4 linked regions of the Drosophila melanogaster genome follow. The protein of the gene in region 2 interacts with the protein of the main gene of each other region in a pairwise test. Each region holds a gene or a part of one and is shown on either strand. Other genes may lie near its edges. The genes, in order: BomT3, CG15549, js and spn-F.

Region 1 (5,423 bases), 8.9 Mb from region 2:
GATGGTGGGAAAAGGAATAATCCTGTCGATAATGAAGTGCTGGGTACATGGAATTTAATTTATTTATTAATATCTTCTGGCGCCCCAAAAGGAGGCAGTAAACAGAAGAGCGACTTTATACAAGCATTGGCGAGTTGGGGGTAAAATATAATAATTAAAGCTATGTAAATTTGCTATGCGGCCGGGATTTTCAAATAAAGCTCAACCAGTGGCAGATATAAGAGTTTCCAAGCACGTGACAATATTACCAAAGGCGCTGCCCCCAGGGCAAACAACATTGGTGTACAAATAAATCAATTCTGCCTTCTGGCAAAACACTGCGGGGGCGAAACAGAAAAAAGTTAAAATTTATTTGAAAAGCGTGAAGGAGATGGCCACTGCTGCCACAAGTCCGATCGGCTCACCTTTCACCTGCCCCAGAAATTCCCCTCTAATGCCGCACAAATTAGGCACAAGAGAACAGAAATTGACCTGAAATCAAATACAAGTCAACATAAATTCAATTTCGAACATTCCCCAGCTCAAGGTCCTTAAGTTGCTAGGCAGATAAACCACCCTGTTCTGGACTAGGACTGAGTTCCTCAGCTTCATGGGGCTTCTAAAGTTGCGTGTAAACAATTTGTGACCCAAAAAGATAGGAAACGACACATTTCTGCCAATAAAGTGTATTAAAAGTAAATCAGAGAAAGTGTATCGAAACCCTTTACGATTGGTATGGTTATGCCACCCAAATGTTCATTGAATTTTAAGCCAGTCGAGCGTTTTTCTGAATTTAGCACATCCGCAAGGGCAGTCCATTGATTTCAATGCATTGTATTTTTTTTTAATTGCAAATAAAGCTTAGGTTTTTATTCTTGGATGTCCGGGAATCAATACTATTCTCTTAAGTTATACGCTTAAATCAAAATTGTATGATTGTTAAGTAATCCTTTTACAATTTTAATTGTTTTCGCATGCTAAGCCTGAATGAAACTTTTCCCTTCTTATTCTGTATATAAAAACACAGCATCAGTTTTATTCGAAACTTCTGCACAAAATATTCTTGGGAAGTGTGTGTGTGTGTGTGTGTGTGTGTATGCACTAAGTGTTTACTGTTTGTCGAGTAGTTAGTTTCAAAGCAAATATTTGAGAGGCTTCTGTTTGCCGTTCCTGCAGTAGCATTACGTATACGCCACGTGGCACGCGCAACCTTAAGCACCCTTACATCAGGCCAGCGTTTTCATTGACAACACATCCACTGGCGTAAATTGCACGGTTGGTTACTCGCATTTGATTATCGATGCTGTGCAATACTCTGGAGACAGCGACGTCAGCTCCCAGCCCAGTTTATGTGGCAACTAGCTGAAGTTCAAACAATCGATGCCATTGGCAGCACGAATTTCTCTATTTTTCCGTCACAAAATCCGTGGGTCTTCCCTTATTTGCAGACTGTTTTGAAACCAAGGCTTTTGAAAATGTAACGCTTTTGTATCACTTATTTTTGAGAAGGATGAGAGAAGCCAATGTTCACAAACAGACAGCTCGCAGTGCACGCAATGAGGTACTGGAAATCGTTAAAAAAAATTCTTATTTTAAATGTGAAAAATTTGATTTTCAGGACTGAATATTTCGACCAAAAGCAATTATAACATTCTTCACGCTTTTTTCGCAGCATAAAATAACTCGGATGTTTCATGTTTCTCCACGTGTACTTCGTGGTAACAAAAACTGAATATAAAACGCTCATTTTTCCATTTTTTGCCTCCATCAGATGATGCCCTCTGCACTCGAAACCATCACATTCATCGAATTTGCAGAGAGACTGGGTTGAACGATTGTCAATGCTTTTAGCTAAATGATGTTGTACATAGCCAAGTGTAAGTATGAAATGGATTGATCGATATGTGCGCAATTTTAATTCAATATTCAGACTTTATTGTTTAAGCCTTTAATAGGGATCCACGTTGCAGTGCTGACATCTGCCATTGACGATGGTATTACCACCCCTCCGGTAAATGGTGCCACCTCCACCGCCACTACCGTCATTTCCACGGGAAATGACCACATTACCATCGCCAGGGGATGAGGAGAAGCTGCGGTACTGCTGGCCATCCAGGTAGACGGGTTCACCATTCGGATTGGGACCTTTTCGAGTGCATATTATTATTCATTAAGTTGTCCAATTGCCTAGCTGGCAAAACAATCGCAACTTACAAGTCAGACAGACGCCATTCACCACCACTGTGCTGGGATGAGCTGGAAATAATTTCAGTGTGTATCAATTAGCGTCAGCAGCAATCCCGTCCAGCTTACCGCCGATCAGAGTCGGAATTAAAGCCAACGGGAGCAGCACACACGTCAGGTACTTCATATTAAAGCCGATAGATAGATGACCGTATCGACTCTCACGCTACTTATATAGTCCGGCACTTGATTCGATCCGAATCAAAATCGATTTGCATAAGCCTAAGCGTTTGGAGCTTTCGATTTGTATTTGAACAATATATTTAAATTAATTTCACACTAGAACACTATCAAATCGCAATTCGATGGGGTTTTCCGCACACGGTTTTGTGGCATCAGGTCGACGTAGTTGATTTCCTTGAACTTCTTCAAAGAAACTTATGACAGTCACGCCCCGAAAAGTCGGTTTACAATTATTCCCAGACGTAAACATGAATGGCAAGCGATTCCAGAGAATCGCACACCATTAAATTTTATCCATACATCTAAGGAAAACTGGTTACAGAACCGAAAGTCGTGACTCGTGAGTGAAATGTAGAAGCTTTAGTTCTAAAGCTAACAATTTATATTTAAATAATAAGATACTTAATACAATGAAAAAGCAAAAAATATATTTGAAAACAAATACATTTCATTAAAAATAAATCTTTGCAACTTTGTAGAAATGAAAAGTGTCTGACTTATTATAGATTTTACAGATTTTGTGTATTTGTTATGTTAAAAAGGTAACGTAGAGTATCTTGAATGCAATACGACTGACCAACTGATGCGCTACAGATTGTTTTTGAAACCCATCCGCGGGCAATTCCCTGAGATTAATACTTAATACATACGTAGTGGTTTGTTTGCACAGCAATAGTTCTTTGCAGCGATAAGGTCTGTTTGGGTTTGAATTCGAATTCAAATTCAGTATCGGAATCGGAATCGATGAGTGCATCGTATATAAGCTGCTGTTGCGGTTCGTACCTGGTCCAGACCAGTTCGACGTTCTAATAGACCAGCCACAATGAGAACCTTGACGGCATTTGCGATTATCGCTTTTTTTGCACTGGCTCTAACGGAGGCGGCTGTTTACATCGGTGGCGGTTGCTACGACTGTAAGTCAATGCCTATTAATTTGGGCCATTTATTCAAAAATTGTTCAACGATTTTCGTCGCTGCCACATCAGGCATAGTTTAAAAGGAAATTTTGTGTTTTCATTAGCGAAAGTTTGAATGAACAATCAATTTGTTATTATATTATGGTATTTCTTGGCAACGAAAGTCATTAAGTGATTATTAACGATACTCTAAACATTTGTTATTGGTTAAGTTTATGAATAATATAATTCCGAACACTTAGCTTTAAGCTTTTAATTTCTATAGCGCATAGTACATTTGCTGGCTTGCGTAAAAAATGCAGTAGCTAGCGCGCAATTAAGTAACTACTACTCCTCAAGAAACTGATTTAAATATCACTATTAGGTAATCCACCCGGAGGCCAAGGACCTGGAGTCTACACAGGTGGCAACGGAGGACGAGGAGGAGGAGGTGGATACAACGCAGGCGGAGGCGGTGGAGGATACTACAACGGCGGCGGAGGTGGAGGAGGTGGCCGTCGTCCAGTATATTCGGGCAACTTTGGACCCGGCTATGGTAACGGCGGAGGAGGAGGTGGAGGAGGCTACGGAGGCGGCGGTGGAGGTGGCTACGATGATGGCGGTCTTACGCAGATTATAAGCGGCTGAGATTATAATCTCGAAGCTTTGCTAGCGCTAAGCGCGAAGAGCAAGCATCGTCTGAAACTTAGATTATATAGACTTAAATAAAAAAAATATATATTTTATCAGCGGTGACTACTTTTATATACTTACAGAATGAGCTTTTGTTAGGTTTTGTTAAAGGTTAAAAACAAGTCCCTCTGTTAAAGTAAAACTAGTGAATAAACTTATCAAATACTCAGCTAACGCTACTAATAAATGGCATGCCACCTATAGCTTCTAAAAATAATATCCTTAATTCCTGTGCATTTTATAATTGGTATTCATTGTAATTCAGTTCAGACACGTATAAATGAGTAGCAACTGTTCAAGAGTGATGATTAATATACCCTTAAAGCCATAAAACCGACTGTGCTGTTCGGTTGAAGGAGTCAAAGTCCTGCAAAGGAAATAATTCATAAGCTCTTCAAAGTTTCAGCCATCCTGCTTGTCAGTCTTAATTAAAGGACTTGCCCTGGCTAAATATGCAAGGGCATCGAATTTCCAAAAAGTTGAACCAAAAGAACCGCTCGGTGAATCCACAAGCACTTAATTGATACAATTACAAGTTCGATTTTTGTTCGTTCGGCGAGCTTTTGGTGAGCTAAGCTGAAGCAAATGAACCGGAATCAAATTAAGGGTCATTAAGTATAATTATCGGTATCATAGCATGCATTTTGTTAAACAGTTTTCAAGGACTTCCTTTCTTTAAGTTGGTTCTTTTGCATTTAAGAAAAGGTTGCGTGCACGCTTAAAAATAGTACATTTCGTGGATATATGTTTAGTTAAGACTCTTGCAGCACATGTATAATTACACATTCGAAACGAAAATAACCATTTCAAAGTAGATACGCTTAAAGATTACTTTATTTATAGCCTGTGCAATCAGTAGTTTTAGAATGAGTAGTTTTAGTAGTAGTAGTAGTTTTAGAAGTAGAATGCGCACATCGAAAATCTTCAGTGTCAGTAAAGTAGCTTCGGGTTTTCAGTGGAAGAAGTAGCACATTGGGCTTAGATTAATTTTCTAAGAAAATCATGCTTTTATTAAATATATACCCATTAAACATTGATATTAGTATATATTCATGGGAGAAATAGTAATTTGGTAATAATTTATTTGCTGAATACACATGTATAAAAATGTTCATTCTTTTTCCAATGAATACATTTCCTTTCGTTTAGGCTCAAAGGAAGTGTTGCTCAGGATTACCTCCTTGTCGATGTCAGGGCTCGCAGTGTGGGTTCTCTCCAGGATGTGGGCAATCTAAAGATGTTGCCCAAAGCATTAAGCCTCCTGAAAAATTAATATTTGCAGTGCACTTCATAAAAACTGTTTTTTTTTCCCCCCGCTAATATGAAAAGATTTCGCCTTGCCAAGCACTTTTTCAATTAGACACTTACAAAGAAGCACCACAAGTTAGGTGCAAAATTCGCTGCTGCATGCAACAGCAATTGAGATTC
Region 2 (5,802 bases):
TGTCATTGTGCAAATAAAATATGTCACGAATCGCCCACTCCCCGCATTTTGCTCCTTGGTCCTTGGGTCCACCCCAAAAAAACCGAAACACGCCCCCTGCTATGTGTGTGTATCTAACCTTTTGTGCCCATTGTATCCTTTGTACAGGACTCACACAATGCGAGCAAATGTTTTGGTTGCTTACGGGCATCAAGAAATGAGAATCGCTTTTATATAAACTTGGCTGAATGAGGATGGGCGGTTGATGTGGTTAAAACAGTTGGCCAGCCTTGATTCTGATCTGTGCACAGGCAGAAATTACCTATATTAATTAATGGAGATTCAGCGATGGTTAGTGTCAAATGAATTTCAATGAAATATCTAAGTAAATACCCCTCATTTCCTTGGATATTGTAATCTTATTGTTCATACTTAATTGCCCTACATTTTTGAGCAGACAAAATGTTCCTTTTCTCCCTCTCTCAAATTCATTCAAACGCTTTTCACTTGACAAGCCAGGAAAATAAACAAACTACACGGAAAGCCAATGGCAAAGCCAAATCCAAATCCATGATTTCAGCTGCCAAATCCTTTTCAAAGCTGCAGCCAGGTGAAAAATAACGAAATATCGTATTTTTCATACATTTTTATCAAATATAAATACACACTCGTATGGGTTCAATCCGCTTGTGCGGCCCAGCCAATCCGAAACCGAACAACTACACAAGTTTATAAAAGACACTCGTTGGCGGCCCTTTGTGTCTTTGTGTTGAGTGCTTTTTGGCTAAATGCGAAATCGATTGGAAAACAATTTCCAATTTTTAAAGAATTATCGCCGCCATATTCGCGCATGCTGTACTAAATCACACATAAGCAACCTCTAAATCTGCTACCCGGGACCCCCAGCCCGACCCCCCACCACCCACCACTCCACACACATGGGCAACCTTTTCGCAAAGCTTTTCCTTTTTGGCTCGTTTATTTCCTTTTTATTTTCCGCTTTTCCAGCTCCCCCGCCCGCCAATATTTTCCATTTCATTTTCTGCGCGGTTGGCAGCGCGTTTAGCTTTGGCTGCATGCCTGACTGACTTTCAGTTATACTAAAAATATATACATTTATATTCGCACACATAAGCTGAACAGCAGGGGAAATGAACAAAAAAAAAAAAAAAAACGAAGAACTATTAGGAAGCAGAGGGGCTTTAAATATTAAAGCGAATACTGTGAAATAGACTAGAGACTAAAGACTATAGGTTGAAATAAAATATTTAGTTTCCCGATTTTAATAGTCTCTCATTCACTTAAAACAGAAAGAAGCTGTGACAAAATATACACAATCCTATTTGCAACGCTCCTCTCTGAGTGCCCTCGGGTGTACCCTTATGGTTGTTATCTCCACCGCAATAGCTACTGAATCCGCAGAGGAGCGAGCTGGTGATCCGGGACCGGGGTCCGGGGTCTGGGAAGGACTTCGAGGACTGGCAACGCAACCCGCAGCCATTTAGTTTTATGTGCCCCGCTCGGTTGGGTTATTGCACCTTTGACTCGACTCCACAGCCATCTGAATTCCACGCCACCTTCGACTTGCTCCGGAGGAGGTGTCACCCTGGAGGGCATGTATCCACAAAGCATCTCGCATGTGAGAGCCATTTATTATTATTTGCTTTCAGCAAATGTGAGCCCGAGGCTCGGCCGCAAGTATTTCCTAATCAGGTTTTAACTACTAATAGGATTTCCGAGGTGGCGAATCGTAATTTACATGGCTTTGGCCGGAGATACCCAAAGAATTGAATTGGAATCCAGAGCAAAGCTGCCGCTAATGTATTGCAGATTATGGTAAATCCCTCGGCACTTCCTTCCTGATTCCCAGCCCCTTAGTCCAAGGACCTCATGCTCACACGTGCTCTAGCACTGAGTGGATCCAATGGAGACTCCGCTCAGATCCCTGAAGCGCCTGAATCGCTCGATTCTCCGCTGGCGAAGGTAGCGCCTTATTTCGCAGGCCGCGTTGCAGGCCACCAGGCCCAGCATGAGGGCCGTGATGAGCCCGGCGAAGATCAGCAGGAACCAGTGGAAGTAGCAGCTCATGGTCACTGGCCTTTGAAGCCAGCCGCTCCAGGATGCGGTGCACTCCTCCTGGACGCACCTTCCGCGCACATTCCTCACACATCCCTTGGCACAGCACCCGTTCGTACTGAAGCGGCCACAGGATGTCAGTTCGATCCTGGGATCTGAGCAGTTCACCGCCGCATACTGCCCCCAAATCCGAGGGATAATTTGGGCCAGAAGGCAGCTTAGGGTCAACAGATTGGCCAACATACTGCACTTTTTGCCACACGTCGAATAGCATGAATTTTGAGGATTCTCAAATAAATTTAAGGCTAAGTCAGTGCTGACTGCAACATGTATTTTAATAAAACTAAAGCAAATAGTTGGAAACTATCTAAGTATTGTATAATTTCATTTTTAATATATATGCAAGGTTGTAAAGTTAATATTTATAATTCCACTTAAAATCGGTTTTATCTCACTCTTTATCTTTATGTTTGTTTCTGGTCTCCAAAAATGCCCTGGCTTTTTCTGCCCTCTCCCGCGCCTCGTTGGCCTCCTGTTCCTGCTCCTGGGGATCCATAGGCGGAATATACTCCGGCGGATTCTGCTCCCGGGCATTTGGGATGAAGGGAGCATGTGGCCAAACGGAGGGCTTAGCCTGCAGCAGCCACAGTTCGTCAAGTTGGCTCTGAAGATACTGGACCGCCTTCTGATGGCGATTGGCCATGAAGTAGGCGCAGCCTATCCAAATACAAGTGATCAGGACTACGCTGGAGATGATCAGCACTTTGGTGGGTATGGATTCCAGTGAAAAGCTCCACGATTCGGATATCGCTGGCTGTTGAGCTGCCAGTACTTCCTGCACCAGCGAAATAGGGAACCACTTTACGGCGATCTTGTAAGTCATTGCGCGGAATTTCTTCAACTGAAGCTTTGGAAATCGTGGAGCTGACTTTATAGGCTCCACTTATCGCAAAGACGACGGGCCTTTCCCAGAACTATTCCATTGGGAGGAGAACTATTCCAATGGGAGTCTTTAAAAAATGTTCCAAATGATTCGAAAATAAAACAAGACTTTTGATATAAAATAAATATTATACTGCATTATATTACTTTCATTTTAAACAATCGTACTTACTTAGCCCTAGATATTAAAAGTGTGAGATTCGTATGTAAAGTTGGTTAAGTTTAAACTTCTGTTATTATTGCTTTCGGTTATTATTCCACAGGGCTTAATTATTGTGGCCAAATGGGAATGGGGAATGGCAGCCGAGTCTTGATTAGAAGTGCCAAATCAGCTCGCAATTCACTCGATTCACCGCTCAAAGAGACCGTAAACCAAATCGGCATAACAAAGTGATTCTAATGTAATTCGTGATTTTGCATAATTATAAAGTTAATAATTAAAATTGCTGCGTGCACAAACCGAAATGAAAACATTAAACTTTAATGATGATTTTGGGCCGTACAGGTGCATTGGTCATTTGGCATTTACAGGGTGGATTTGGCAGGGGGTTCACCACCTCCCATCGGCAAATAAACTAATGCGTAAATATTAGCAAATTCCACCCGTTCCCCCCTTCCCCACCACCAGCAGAATATCCACATAAATTTGAGACACATATGCAGTGCGTTTGTAATAAGCAATCAATTATTATTATTGAATTTCGGGCATGGTCAGGTGCAAAGAGGCGGCGGCGGGCGGTGGGCGTGGCAGCTGGTCAACGCCACTAATGCGTCTAATGAGAATTTAAGCACACTTCAACCCTCTCGATTCGATTTGAACCCAACCCATTCGGAATTTGGGGAATTTTGCGTGGATTTGCACAGCACACACAGCCCCCAAGTACAGTTGTGCTCTTCTCTCGGCTCCAAATGCAAATGCAAATACAATTACATTCGGAACCCATTTAGCGGCATTTCGGTTTGCTTTTCGTACATTTTCCAATTTGTTAGTCGAAACTGCGCAAATCTGTGATTTGCGGTTCGGCGTAGGATTTTTGAAATATGAGTGGATGTTACATATTCAAAGCCATATTATGCGAATACTATTATCGTCATTAGATATATAAGCTATTTGAATTTGTATGATTATTATTTGATTTTAAATTATCTAAGCTGTCTCATATCAAATATGTACAAATCTGAGTGAAAAAGCTAACCTATTTCAAAGTAGATAACCGAGTGTAGATATATCTCAACTGGAAGAGAAGTCATAATTATTGGGTCACCCTGATAAAGATCCCCAAAACAGGATAGTTTCCCCTCTACTATGTTACTATGTGAGGGGGTGGGGTTCGAGAACACCCCTCAAAGTGCCCGCTTAACTGGGTTTCATGTGACCCTGCTAAACCGACATCGTTAATGATAATTTAATTATTGCCCGGCATTTCGGGCTTTGGCGACTTACGCACTCCTGCGAACGAGAATCCTGCGGCCTGGCTAATTGCAGCAAATCTGCTTTGGGTCAGTTAGTCGTCCTTATTAACTGATAATTGCAATCACCTGGCTTTTGGCCACCAGGTGGGTTGGAGCCGGACAGAGTTGGGCGCATAAAACATAAAGCGACCAAATCCGCGACTATCGCCATCCGTTGCGAAGATACGAGCTGCAAACAGTGACAGTTCGGCTGAGCAGCACGATAGGAACTTAACTGGCATCGAGGGTATTGTAATAATAAAACAAAAGTGTCAGCCAAAGATATCGCAGGATATGCGCAATCCATATTGAAAATTGATTTAAATTTTTAATAGGCATCAGGCAGCGGCGGCGCTTTGATAAAAATGCCAGCACGCGGCAATCGCGCAATCGCGGGCTTACCTCTTCGCAGGAAGATATATCCAGATCCGGATCCGGAGCCGGAGTCAGAGCCTCCTGACGGGGGCTCTAGTTAAATATGGAAACAATATCGAAATGCCAACTGAAATCGGCTGAAACTTGTAAGTGAATGCGAACGCGACATGAATATCCATATCCATATGACTGCATGGCAGTCTGCATTTATATTTGTTTTCGTAGCTGTCAAATCATATTTTAATCTGTTTTGATTGCTGACTTTTGTGCGAGGGATTTGGGCCGCCTGCAGTTGCAGCGGAAAATATTGCATTTTATTTTATTTATGCAAAAAAAGACGGGCGAATTTATGTGGAAAGCTCGTGCGATCTCCTCTGCCTCCGCATTTTCCGCATTTTCCGCTCGTGACTCCAGTGGCTGTGTTGTGTGCGTTTTCCATTTGTTTCATTTGATGTGCCACAGTTAAGCAGTAAAATCCACTTTTTACGAGTTGTCCCCGGATTGCTCCGCCGGCCACTCCCACTCCGCCCCCTTTTGGGAGCTTTGCGTTGTTACTCATACGAGCGTAAGAAAGAAAACCAACAGCACGCATTCAGTCGCTGAAATTTGTCAATAATATGTGTCAGCATAGAGGTGAGCAAGAAGTCGACATGTTTATAGGAAGTATCTCTAAAAAAAATATTACTTAGTATACTAAATACCCCAAATAAAATAGCCATATAAATTTATTTTAAATCGATCACGTATTTGTTTTTAATGATCACGTTAAAATACTGTTGAAAACTGTCAGGAGACTGAAAAATATATTTTCATCGTTAGACTTGTAGACACTATCTATTCTATAATAATTATGTTGTCTCCGGTCAGGAAATTTGATAACCAGGCCATACCTCACATTTACTTTATTATACTAAAGCGACAAGTATAATGTTATTTTTATTGTGAAAGTCGAAACCATATCACTAGTGTCACAAAGGT
Region 3 (7,133 bases), about 15 Mb from region 2:
TTCCCTTAGATGGAAAGCTCAATAGCTCCACAAATTGCAGGAGCTGGGGGGGAACTATCTGGAGTGTAATCATTCCTAATACGACAGGGAATCACTTAAGGAAACCCGATTGTGCAATCCCCTAGGCAGGCACAAGACACAATCCAAGGCCCCGTCTAGATTTCCATTTCACGAGACGGAGCTGTTTGTGTTTCTCATTTCGGGCAATTTGCCATAATTTGAAACGCTCTTCAATTTCATTTCGGGCATATTTACGGGCCGCACTAAAACACACATTCTGCGCCCAGTTGCCCACTCGTCCGTTACATAACAGCCACAACTTCATCCTCGACTTGGGTTTCGTTTTAATTTCTTGTATGCAAATGGCGAAAACAATCAACACACTATTCTCCCTCAGTTTTTGGTTTTTGTTGTTTGGCTGGCAGTGTGTGTTCCATTTCTGCAAAAGTGTCAGACGAGTCGGAAAAAAGGTCACTTGGTCAGCGGAGTCTTTTGTCTTTGATACACTAGTATTTGTCTCGAGACCTTTGCTTCTCCGAATCATGTGTATCTTTGCCGGCCTGTGTGTGAATTGTGGATTGGATGCACTCGTACACACATAGAATAAATTAAAAATGAAACAAAGCGTAAAGAGCGCAAAATTACAACATTTTCCGCCGTTGCTCAAAGAAGTGACTTGGGAAGTTCGGAAGGTTCGGTGGCAAACACAACGAACATTTGTCGGTGGTGCCTCCACTGGGGATCTTGTGTTGCAGAATGAAAGCCCTCAAATTAAAATCTGGTAAGCGTTAACTTCTTAAGAATAATATTATTACTACCCAGAATGACAGTGTCACAGATAAAAAATTAAACAAATTAATTGACAGTATTTTATGGTAATTTGTACAATGTATTCCATGGCAGCGGCACCCCATTGCTTCGCACTTAAGCATATACGTATGTAAAGATACTTTTCAAGTCGTGTAATTAATTTGTCATCAATCGATTCTATAAGATTTACACATTGTAATCAGATTAACAAGTTAATATACATAAATTTGCATACCTTGATTTTAGATTATAGTCATAATTCCTTTCTTTATGATTAATTTTAATTTTAATCTTTAAGATAAATTTCAAATGATTGTTGGGGTACATTTTCTATTTCATTTATGAATAGGAGTTCTTGTTGAAATAGATTAATGTAAGCTCATCAACGAATCGGTCAAAATATTTTAATTAAAACTGGAAAACAGAAAGCAAGTTTTCTTGACTTGCCTTTTAACTTGCAATTTATTAAGATACATACATATACATTGTATACAAAAATGTGGTATCTATTAAAAAAACGTAATTAGAATTTGATTTAAGAACCAATTTGATTTACCAACCAAGTTCGGTTGATATTCAATATTTTGAAATTGGTAAAGGGTTTTAATGGGCAGGCAATACTAATGGAAAGAATTTCCCAACCACTTTTGGCTAACACTTCTGAGACTCAATTGAAGGGTCACGCTTTGAATGATAATGATAGTCACAGTCTTAACGGATTAACATTTCTGTGGATAGTTTTATTGTTGAGGGGCAGGTGAGAATTTACTGTATATTAAATTTCGCTAAATACACTTCAGAATGATCACTAAGGGGAAGCTTCATTAGCATTGATTGTACGATATGTTTACGATATTTTAGCTATTAATTATTGCAATCTTCGGAAGAAAGATAATAAGCACCTTCCACGCTGAACAAATACGGCGTTTAAATATTTATACAATTCCGCAATTTGCATTTCAATGCTCTCTCACGTGCACATCGCATTCGCCATCGGAATCTCCGCTGGCATATCTTTCGAATTCCCCGATTGAGCCCGGCTAAGGGTATAAGTCGGACTTACCTCACTGGCCAAAAATAAAGCTGAGCAGAATAAAGCCAGGGTCAAAAGTCGCCAAGGCGTTGGGATAATTTGCGTTTGTGCCAACATTTCGACGATTGTTCTCTGTGGCACTGGGGATTGTTGGGAGGGGAGGGAACTCACGATGTTGAGCTAAAAAACTGAAAGTTATTAATATGTTATTGAATGGTCGCTGATCACAATTGATGGGAAAGTGCACGCAGGGCATATAAGTTGGCGCTAATTGCCTTACACAATAGCGGCTCGCATCTTAATACCCATTCCTTTCCGCCATCCACCCATAGCCATATGAAATAGTAATGTGTCTTTTGTTGCCAATCTTTTGCGTAACCGGGCTCTGTTTACTTTAGTAATAACTTTCCCAAAAATATCTCCTCATAGGTAATCACCTATGGGTGATAACAATGTGTCTGCTGGTTGGTTTTTTTATTTTTTGTCACTGCGAAGAGACCAGTTGAAAATTTTCTTCGCCTCCAAGATGTTTGTTCGATTCAACGCTTTCGTAATGAATTGTAAGTGTAATTTAAAAAACATTAACTTCTGCAGTTGGTGCCGCTTTATTGACTGACAGAATTTGCAACGCTGTCGCTGGCTCTTCCCCCGTTTCTGTCGCGACCTCCACCTACAATTCAATTGTGCGACCTTGCCACTTGCCACTCCGCTCCTCGCCAAAAAAAAAAGAAAAATATGTAGTCACACCGATAAAACTGTCAATCGCAGTCGCAAACAAAGCTCCAAAATGGAAATTGCACTTTATGACCGTTTATAGTAACCAAATTGGTCGAAATTGACTTGTCCGGTAAAGGCTCTTAGCTTTATGAATTTCCGCTTGGGTCAAGAACGTCTCCGGTAGTTTCATAACGTTGTTCCAAGTATGGTTAAAGAGTTTTATGCCTAGAACTAATTTGAGTCTCACTTCGAGGCTCGTCTTGCTATGTAGACAAATTCAAAGATTCCCAAGTCTTTGATTTAATGTTGTTTATATTTATAAGCCGCGTCATCACTCGTTTTTGACTCAAGTAAAACATAAGAAATACTGATAATGTCGAAGAGATTATGTAGAAGCATGAACTTGAATTTAATCAACTTAAAAGACTCTGAGGAAGGAATTGGTTATAAAAAGAATTGGATTTTTATGTTGCGCTAATGCGGTATAACGATCAAAACATTAGGCAATAAACTTTACTTTTTATGTCAGGCTTACACATATTTATGACTTCTTTTTGTTTTACTTTTCATGCACCTACATTGTTAACGTTACAAAAAAATGTGGTTTTAAATAAAAACCTACTTAGCTGATTAGAGGAAAATTGGCATAAATGACTTCTCCATGATTACTTTTTTTTCAAAGGAATTATATAGTTTGTAAGTTAACGAAAAAGATATAGCGCTTTCGTAATAAAATAATAATGGACAATATATTTCGCGATTTAAATGCATCAATAAATAAGGTATTAACATTAATAGATTCGCTCCGCCATTTAAACTAACATTTAAGTGTACTTTTGCAATTAAGTTTACGGGTAATTGAAATGTTTTTTTTTTTTTAGAGGCATAAAATGCCTAGCCATAATTTGCCCATAACAGTCGTCGTATAATTTATTAGGTTAGCGGGTCTGAGGAACATCATATCGCCGCCGAGCTGCAAAGTTCAATTGCCCAATAAAATCTCATACTTTTCAGCTAACGAGATCATCTGGCTCAATGCTAACCGCAACATTTGTGGCAAGTTGTGGCCAGCAGTCATTCGAGCCAAGTGCGTGTGGCAGCAGCAGTAGCAGCAGGAAAATGGCTAAAAACCAAAAGCGAACAATACTGAACTGGCATCTAGTTTGGCGGTTTTTCCCTGTCTTGACCTTTTTGACAACGAAAAATATTTACCGCTTTATCCTCCTCGGGTTGAACTCGTGATGCTGGTTGCAGTTTTATTTCTTGGTTGCTTTTTTCGCGGTTTTTTCTTCAATTTTTTCTAAGTTGCCTTGTGGCCAGTAAGGCGAAGCCTATTTGACATTTTTGCCAGCCATTTCCATTGAAAGAGCATTGCGAATCTAACTCGAAGATGCTCAAACGGCAAATAATAGCCGAGATGCAGCAACAATTATGCCAATTAGTTGGCATTACAGGTTGATTACGATTACGGCAGGGCCAGACTGAAGATATTTCGCCCAGCCATAGTTGGCATTTTTCTAATTGTTTTCGATTGGACCCCCCGACTGGATGGAGAAGAGGAAGTTATTAAGATGCAAGCACAAGATCTTAGATGTTGGGCTCGAGATGCCGATGTCGAATCCGATGTCGACTCCAACCGATCGGCGGTGGGCTCACCTTCGCCCGCGTCTTCAGTTGACGGAGTATCTTAAATTGTACAAACTAATTGTCGCCGTAGGTGGTGTGCTAAAATATATTCCATATGGTCGCGGACCTTTTCACACATCCGATGCGAGTTGGTGATTCAGTGCGATGTGATCTTTGCAAAGATCAAATGTCAGCAGCACTCGGAGTGCATCAAGCTCAGATAGCTAATGCAATTGCATTGGCTTGAAAACAAAGTCAAGAGCAATCGCGCAACGCCAGCAACCGAATTGGTTCGCATAAATTATTTGCTTTGATACTATATAGACATGCCATCAACACTTTAGCACATCATTTCACAGTCCTTTTCGAATGGAGCGCGTCTATAAAACTTATCCAAGTTTGTATCTTGTATCTGACGGTTCGCAATTCGCCCGATAAAACACAACCGCTTCGTTCGAAGTCGCGTCTTAAACTGAAGACTCCGAGTGCACCCAGCTCGGTTTAAGATTCCCATTAGGCCGCCCGCTACAGACCAGGTCTCTGCTGGAGAAGCGCCAAGCGGAGCTTCGTCATCGGCGCACAGTGGGCGATCCGGACGCCCACATGCGTGAGAGGAAATTCTGTTCATTTGTAAAGAAATCTACGCAAATACTTTCAGATGCGGGCAAATAATCTTGCCAAATGATGTAAGTTTGGAATTTAGCAGCCGCTTTTAGGTATTAAACCATATTAAAGCACATTATTTATGAGGCTGTATAAGTTGGTTCATTTTATGCCACTGTGCCAAAACTTCTCGGCCAGTTAACGAAGTTCAATCGGGTTTTTTGAGCCCCTCAGCCAGCGAAGCGTTTGCATTGCAGCTTCATTTTCAGTTTTTCAGCTTTTCAGCTAGATTCTCAGTTTCAATTTACCGTTAACTGCTACGTTTTCATTTTCATTGCACGTTATTAGCATTTGCAATGCCACCGTTTAGGGCAACCCTTCACCCACCGGTGTTTATTTGTCTAATTTATTGGAACGTTTACGTTAAAGCCACTTTGGCAGATGGGTAAGGGGGCAACAAAAGAAGTGGGCTAAATAGAGCAATCGAGCACGGCTAAAAGAGATCTGCACCAGATTGGGCGCCAAATTGTGAAATCATTTTCCCCATCTCAGATTTGCTCGATTCGGCTGGCTTTTTTGGCGGCATCGTTGTCAGATTTCTGGCGGCTGGGTTTTGTAAGCGAAGATTTCCATTTTCCATTTTCATCTTCGTTTTTCGATTCAAATCGTTTATTTACTCCTCAAAGCCCTTTTGTCGCGGAAAAGACAGAAAAACAGACAAGGCGGTTTGGGGCACTGAGGTTTTCATCGCAGTCGTGTGTTGCCCCATTCAGTTGCTGGATTTCATTTTCGATGGGCGTTGGGTTTCACCCATCCATTCCCCCTCCTTTCCCCTTCACCTTTACCACTTTAGCCATTTTCATTTTCGTGATGGAACTGAGAGGAAGCTAAAGTCGAGAGTGTCGGGAGTCAATCGATGGTTTTCTTCCTTTTTTTTTGGTTTGTTTTGTACTGTTTTCAAAAATAAAGAAAATAACACATATACATATAAACATTTTGTAGACCTTGTAACCTGGAATTTAGTTAGTTATCTCCTGGATACCTGGGACTAGCCTACGCGGACTTGGGGGTACTCGATCCATCCTGGATCCCCGGCTTTAGCTCCTGGTTCTTCATGTCCAGCGAATGCTGCTGGAAATCGGACAGGATGCGGCTCTCGGGGATGTCCGTCTCCACGCGGCTGCCCACTATGTCTATCTCGCTATCTTTTTTATCAAAAAATATGTCGATGATTATACGCACGCCTTTGAAGGAAACATTATTAATTTTCCGAAAATAATAGAAAAATGTAATTAAAAAAATTGTAAATAAGTTTAAGTTATATATACATTTTCTGTATGGGCTAATCTTATTTTTTATGTAAATTATTTTATAGTTCACCCACCTTTATTAGTGTGTCGAATTGTAGTTTTGCTTTGATAGGACCTTTCTACTGTATTCGGATCAGACGGAAGCTCAGTATTGGCCGATTGGAAGACTGCAGACTCCTTGTTCACTCGGAGGATACTCTCACTGTAGTTAGATTGACTGGTTAGTCGAGGAAGTGTAAAAGGCGCGCCTAAACTATTACTTTTCTTTTTCCTTGTCGTCCGACATGGACATGTTGCAAAGGCTACTACCGCCCTCAAGATCCGTCCTCTGGTTTTCCTCTGACATGGCGCCAAAGTAAAGGGACTTGGCCATCTCCAGTTCCTGGTTCTTTTGAGTGGCAAAGTTGTAAAGGTTGATCATGTCACGTACTCGAATGGGCGTGTCCATCCTTTTGCGCCGCCCTGTCTGCGGTGTTTCCGGTGTCTGGATTTCGGATGATGTCTGGAGCTCCTGGTCCCGATCGATCTCTACATCCTTGTTGGAGATGTTACTACAGTCGTCCTGAGGGTTGATGGTGTTGGTGTTCATGGTGTTGGTGCTTGAAAGTTTCTAGCTCTCCCTAAACAAAAGTAATTACTACAACTGCGTCGAAAGTTTCTAGTTGAGTTCAAGACTTCCGATTTTTCAGTTGTTCGAAAAGTTCTGATAACCTCCCGTGTATGTGGGAAAGTAGTAACTGACTCAAAATTCGATTTAGACAATTTCACTTGAATATGACCTTTACCTCAGGGAGATATTTTGATCGTGTGTTGTGTGTGTATTTGTAATACATCATGTGGGTTCCTGCCTGCAATTCGTTAGCAATTACAGTAACGAAATGTAAATGTAATTCATCTTCGAGCTGCCGAAGACGAATCGATAGAGGGCGACCTTCAGTGCGGCATTCGAAACCCGAATTCGATCGATCGGATGATTGATCCCACAGAGGGGGCAGTGATTGAGGAAGGTTTGGTGATTAGTGAAATTTGAGCCA
Region 4 (6,017 bases), 320 kb from region 2:
TTTAAATGTTTTCTTTTGACAAATATTATACAAGTTCTTAGACGATTTTGTTATGCAGTAACAGCGCTTAAATAGATGCGCATATGAAATAAGGCTGAGTTTTGGCACGCATAATTAATACGAATTTGGTGATACACATTTTAAATTTAATTGATTTCTTTACATCACTTTAAACTAGGTCTGAAGCTAAAGACCAACAAATAGTTGATTAGGAATGTAAGGCTGTTCAAATCATTAAATCATTGCAAAGGAACTCTAACTAATTCTGATCATAAGTGGTGTCATATGTATTTGTTACTTACTTTTTGGACGTTTAACGAAATGGGTGACTGTCTTTCGCCCGTAGAGCAAATTCCTCCCCAATTCTGTCCGTTCGTCTCATAGTCCCAGTGCGATTCGTCTTTATGATCTACAAGTTTCAAATTGAAGAAAATGTTAGGTCTAAGACGTTTTCACTTTCTTTCAGCCATCTAGCAGCAGTATCTGGTAATCCTATTAGCCAAGACCGTGAATAAATTCACTTCTGTTTTCATTCGGCGGAATTAGCCGACTCTCATTTCTCTCGTTTCTGTAACCCAAAATAGGGTATGGCAGAGTGATTAATCACAGTAGCTTATACAATTAATGGTAATGGGTGTGCGCCAAGACCCTTTCAAACGTTTAATCCCAATTTTTAATAATTTAGAGGGAAGTTAGTATGTGTTTTAACCGCTTTGAGGCTATTTTGAGGCACATTTATCACTTCCTGCCATTGAAGGCTAGTTAATGCACTTTTATCACTCCATTCGATTTACATATCTATCTTAAGATCTGGGATCGAAATTACCATTTGATGTATGCTGATAGGCGAGCGGTAGTAGTAACAAAAGCTTGTGAAAGGCATTCGGCTGCATTGTTGCAGATCGCAGATGTGATTGTTCTAATATTACTATATATAATATTGGATTCCCGCGGACGCGTGTGTCTTTGTATTGAAATTCGCGGCGTTTTCGATTTTACATAATTCATACGGCGCGAATGTGCGGGAGATATGTTGGCCTCTATATGATGCTGTTGCCACTGCGAACTGCGAGCAACTGAAACGGGCCATAAACACCCCGATATCTTTTATAGTTTGGAGGGGCACGGTGCCCACGTAGACTTGGCGTCTGGGGGGAAGTCGGAATGGAATCGGATCGGATCTGAATTCGACACCTAAGTGGCGCGTGATTAGCCCCAAACGGTAGCAACAAGTGGCAGACTAATTGCAGCGCTGGGTTTTCGAAATGATAAATGGATGGATCGCAATATATAGACCATGAGAGCTAGGAAAACCCAGTATTAGTTGGAAATGCGGAAAAGATCTAACAAAAGTTGCTTGAACTCTTACAAATTCTATGCACATTGGTTGGTGAATGGGTGGGGTTACCAGTTATACGACTTGTAGATAAGCACCAGATTTGATAATTTGTTTCATTATCTGAGCATTTCATAGTAACGTAATAAAGTATCCACGGGAGCTGCCACGTGCCTGTGTCTTAAAAATATTTATTTATCAAACTTATTAGCATAGGCAAATTAAAATGTTTCCTTAAGCTAAATTCCTGCTGCGACCCACTCCAAATGCATTAAAAGAAAGTTAGCTCTGAGCATTTGCATTTGTATTGCTATCAATGGCAAATCTTATGGTCAATATTTTGGCAAATATTCGCATTGAATGACTGGATCAGCCCGATTAGGCACACGTTGCCAGTCGGGTTTCGACTACGTCATAGCCAAAAAAACAGGGAAATCCTCTGACCAGTTACAGCATAATGGCCTCAAGCCAAACTTCTTTGTCGAATGTTCCACTCTTCCCCCAAAGTGTGTGACTCACAGAAAAGCTGCCAATTAGATCGGATAATGACCACAAGCGATGGTAACATCGATCGTCATCTTTGATATTACAATATTTGTCAGCGCTAATAATATAATATTTATGTTGTCCACGGTCCACGATTTCACTTTCCAACCAACCGAAGAGAGCGCTCAACATGTTTTCAGGCTTTTCATTTAAACTGTATTTCGTATTCGGTCACTTACATCTATATATTCATGCACTCTCCGCAATTATAATACAATATATATATATTTTTTCTTAAAGTTCAATGTTGTATAGTTTTGATACATGATCGCCCTAACGTCTTATCAATAGAAACGTAACAAGCGGCTCCTGCGCAGTCAAACTGCTCCTTAATCCTTGGATTTCTCCGGTCAGGTCAGAGTTCGGTGGCGAAATAAATGCGCCTACTGGGTCAGAAGTCACCCACAGCATGGGAAACGAACTCAAACTGGCGCTCAATGCTGTTCTCCGACTCCAGTTCCAGTGCATCGTCGATGAAGTGCATCTCGACGTGCTCGCGGAACGCATTGAAGGACACTTGGCTGGAGTACTGCTTGCCGCACATAGGGCAGGTCTTCTCCATTGCGTCGGCTGCATCTGCTTTGATTTTCTCTTGTATTATGTTAATTCTCTGGCTGGGCGGCGTGCCATTGTGTCCATTGTGTTGGCTCTCATAGTTCTTCAGCTCGCTGGTCAGGCTGTCGTCCGTTTCCAGACTTTTGTCGGCCATCTCCGGTTTTTTGATGGTTTTCTGGGCACATTCCGGACAGGGCTTGAGTGCTGCTTGCACATAAAACAGGCGTTAAAAGTTATTTTTTTTATAGCATGAATTCCATTTTGTTGCTTACCTATGCGATTTTCTAGCAGAGTCATTACCGATCTGAGCTCCTGCTGCTGCTTCATGGCCTCTCGCCTCAGCTCCTGCAGTCCATCCAAACATCTTTTGGCATCCACATTGGCATCTGGTTCACTAGTGGTTTCCTCCACCTTTTGCAGGTTGTAGGGGTAACCTAGTTCCTCACTGCTGGCACCGAAGTCATCCAGGGCTATTTCCTCCAGACTGAGATCCTTAATGCCGTCGGAGAGCATCTTTTGGCGAAGGTGAGGATTGGGGGAGTGCTGCGTAAAGGTCTTGGAGCGCACCAGGTTCTGGTTTTGCTGGGCTCGCGAGTCTGTTGAGCTGGGCAGTGCGTTCAGCTGCTGATCCTTGGAGATCTGCGATAGGCGGGACCAGAGCCGTCTGTTCTCGTTGGATACCATGCCAATGTGCTCCTCCAGCTGCTCCTTTTGGCGCTGCAGCTCAGAGACCTGTGCTTTCAGAGAGAGGACGTCCCCAGTGACCCCGATTTCGTTTGCCCTTGGAGCACCTTCCGACCTGCTGGAGGCCTCCCTTAGCTGCTGGTTCTCCTCCTCCATGCTGGCCACGCGGCGCTGCAGCTGGATGCACCGCTCCTTGATCGTCTGCAGCGCCACTTGCAGTGCGTAGTTCATTTTTTCACTGGAGGGGGAGTTTGTGGATCCGGAAGCGGACATGGAACTGGCCATAGGCGTGATTTTGGCAGCAGATGCCTCCATTCTGCAGTATTGGAGTTCCTTGGCACTTGATCCCAAAAATATACGTTTTCCTGTAGATGTTTGATTTTCCAAATTTTTATTGCGTTCTCATTAGTATGACCGTGCGATGAACTTAAAAAAATAATATACACTATACCGATAGTCTATAGTCACTGAAGACAGATAAATAAAAGTAAAGTAATGTATTGAGCTAAGTTTAATTACTTAAACAAAAATAACGACTCTTGATCTTATAAAGTTAGACCACCATTTACATGGTTGAAGACGATAGGTTCAACAGGTTTCACTCTATCTCAGCATTCCTATTACGTTATTTGGTAGAGTGACCAGCTGGTATCGCGAACAGCTGTTTTTGTTTACGCTGCATTATTATCCAACAAATTTTCCGATGTTTTGCGGCAAGAGTTTAGTCAATAATTTTTACAAATATAAGAGAAAAGTGTGGCAGAATGTAATCCCAATTGCACAGCGCTGCAAGGGAACTTACCACCCTCCAAAAATTCTCTTTTTCGGTACCGACAATTTTTCCTTGCCCAGCTTACAGGCGCTACACAAAAACTGCGGGTAAAATGTTTTAAACAATAATGTTAAATTGGATTAATAAGAATATTTTTCTTAGTGATCGTTTGGGAGTTGTTACCTCCTTCAAAAGTCCCGCCAACTGTGTGAGGACCTACGCGGAAAAGGAGAAGCTTCCCCTGCAAAAGTGGCCCATAGATCCTTCTGTGTGTCCGCAATTTGATCTGGGTGTGGTGGTCTCCTTTGGCCACCTGATTCCTGGTAGTATCATCAATGGATTTCCTTATGGGATGATCAATGTTCACGCTAGTTTGTTACCCAAATGGCGGGGAGCTGCTCCCATCATATACGCCATCATGAAGGGAGATGCCAGCACTGGAGTTTCCATCATGAAAATCGAACCTCACCGGTTCGATATCGGTGATGTAAGTTCATTCTTATCTTACCATTGTATGCAGTAGTATTGACGACTTATGCTTTAGATTTTAGCTCAGCGAGAAGTGGCTATTAATCCCGATGTCTTCATGCCGGATCTGCATGCATCTTTGGCGTCGCTAGGAGCCGAGTTACTTGTGGATACTATTAACAACCTATCAGTAAGACTTAAGGAAGCCAAACCCCAAGATAGTTCAAGGGTCAGCTATGGTAAAGCATATCTAAGCACTTCGAGAACCTATATAAACTATATTTTTGCCTTCAGCTCCCAAGATTACCAGTAAAATCACAGAAATTATCTGGTCCGAGCTGAGTGCCATTGAAATATACACTCGTCATCGAGCTTTGTATGGCTACAAAAACCTTACAACCAACTTTTTGGGCAAGCAAGTGCAGTTGCTGGAGTTGCGATTACCGGAGAAGAGAGTTCCCGTCCAAGAACCTGGTGCCATCAGCTACCTAAGGAAGTCGAGATCCCTCATAATCGGATGTGCTCAGCAGAGTCAGTTGGAAGTGCTTCAGTTACGCGTGGAAGGTAGAAAACCTATGAGTGCCCAGGACTTTAACAACGGATTCCTGAAGCAAGCAAGGTCCTTATCCTTCACAGAGAATAAAATAGCATCGATTTGATAACGAACGTGTGGATTTAATGCACAATGGATGCTTAGTATCTAGGCCAAGTCGGAGGGCTTGACTTCCTTGGTTTCGGACAGCTGCTGCGTGGATTTTTGGAGCAGATTCTTGGTGAACCACATGGGACGAGGCTTCTTCATCTCCACGATGCGCTTGTTTTTCAGATCATCTGTGGACTGTTCGGCCTTCTCGCCTTCATAAAGAACGATTACTTCCTTGTCCACGGGATCTAGACCGAGTGTCTCCTGGATTTTCGACTGCATGAGCTCAGTCTCCTTCAGGACCTTTTGGTAGCAGAAGGCTGGAAGAGCAACATTAAAGGTGGCTACCTCTTTGTATACTTTTAAGGCTACTTACGACAAAGAACTCCCATCTCGTGGTCATGGCCACATTGCAGACAGGAGCGGAGGTTTCTCTTCTCCCTCAAAGGCTTCCAGTTGTATTCCGGATATCCGAACTTCCGCTTCAGGCGTTTCTCCACGGATCTTCTGTGCTTCGGAACAGCCCACAGCAATCCGTCGCCAATAAGCTGCTTCAAACTGAATTCCTGGGAGGATTTAGGGCTGTGATCATGCTGAAAACCGGCCAACGCTAAAGCTGTGTAAAAAGTGGGTAAGTCAGGGTAACTTTATCTTGGGCTGGTGCTTCTCACCAGGAGGGTGTCCTCCATGTGGCAGGAACAAGCTCTCTAAGTTCCTAATAAAGTTTGTAATTGATAAAAACAAATTTCTAGACATCTTGTTGCTGCTCTTCTGAAATTTACGTAAACGTGATTAGAGATGCGCAAGAGGAAACAGCTGTGCTATCGATATGTTTATAGAAAAACGTAAGTAAGGCACAAAATAGATGTAAAAATGTTAATTCAAAAAAGAGCAATAAAAATGGTGTAACTACTTTTAAAATAATGTCAGCATCCGTAAATAACTACCGTTTTAAGGTTGCAGACTTTGTCGCCTTACGTTGCACACTTCTAGTGCTACGTTTTAGCCGGCTG

Evidence for each region.
Region 1: the proteins of CG15549 (region 2) and BomT3 interact in a two-hybrid assay, tested with the Drosophila melanogaster proteins (one large-scale study listed by BioGRID).
Region 3: the proteins of CG15549 (region 2) and js interact in a two-hybrid assay, tested with the Drosophila melanogaster proteins (one large-scale study listed by BioGRID).
Region 4: the proteins of CG15549 (region 2) and spn-F interact in a two-hybrid assay, tested with the Drosophila melanogaster proteins (one large-scale study listed by BioGRID).

The regions. Positions count from the first base shown.
Region 1 is NT_033777.3:22,084,130-22,089,552, reverse strand, and holds BomT3 (bomanin tailed 3), read left to right. Parts: upstream 1-3,155; 5' UTR 3,156-3,229; coding exon 3,230-3,320; intron 3,321-3,687; coding exon 3,688-3,950; 3' UTR 3,951-4,179; downstream 4,180-5,423. Other genes in the region: BomBc3 (bomanin bicipital 3), read right to left, coding at 1,928-2,124, 2,194-2,235, 2,293-2,350.
Region 2 is NT_033777.3:30,934,161-30,939,962, forward strand, and holds CG15549 (uncharacterized protein), read right to left. Parts: upstream 2,348-5,802; 5' UTR 2,299-2,347; coding exon 1,885-2,298; 3' UTR 1,236-1,884; downstream 1-1,235. Other genes in the region: CG15550 (uncharacterized protein), read right to left, coding at 2,507-2,938.
Region 3 is NT_033777.3:16,363,644-16,370,776, forward strand, and holds the start of js (jiangshi), read right to left. Parts: upstream 4,664-7,133; 5' UTR 4,217-4,663; intron 2,032-4,216; 5' UTR 1,961-2,031; coding exon 1,874-1,960; intron 1-1,873. Other genes in the region: CG10317 (uncharacterized protein), read right to left, coding at 5,843-6,033, 6,174-6,301, 6,360-6,688.
Region 4 is NT_033777.3:31,252,662-31,258,678, reverse strand, and holds spn-F (spn-F), read right to left. Parts: upstream 3,553-6,017; 5' UTR 3,437-3,552; coding exon 2,710-3,436; intron 2,642-2,709; coding exon 2,274-2,641; coding exon of another isoform or gene 2,238-2,273; 3' UTR 2,020-2,237; downstream 1-2,019. Other genes in the region: CAH6 (carbonic anhydrase 6), read right to left, coding at 303-409, 827-893; CG1750 (uncharacterized protein), read left to right, coding at 3,825-4,000, 4,056-4,380, 4,438-4,600, 4,656-5,020; mRpL32 (mitochondrial ribosomal protein L32), read right to left, coding at 5,062-5,324, 5,381-5,620, 5,676-5,760. UniProt on the Drosophila melanogaster protein: Plays a role in oocyte axis determination and microtubule organization during oogenesis. Also required for polarized organization of the bristle. Required, with jvl, for activation of the kinase IKKepsilon in the germ line.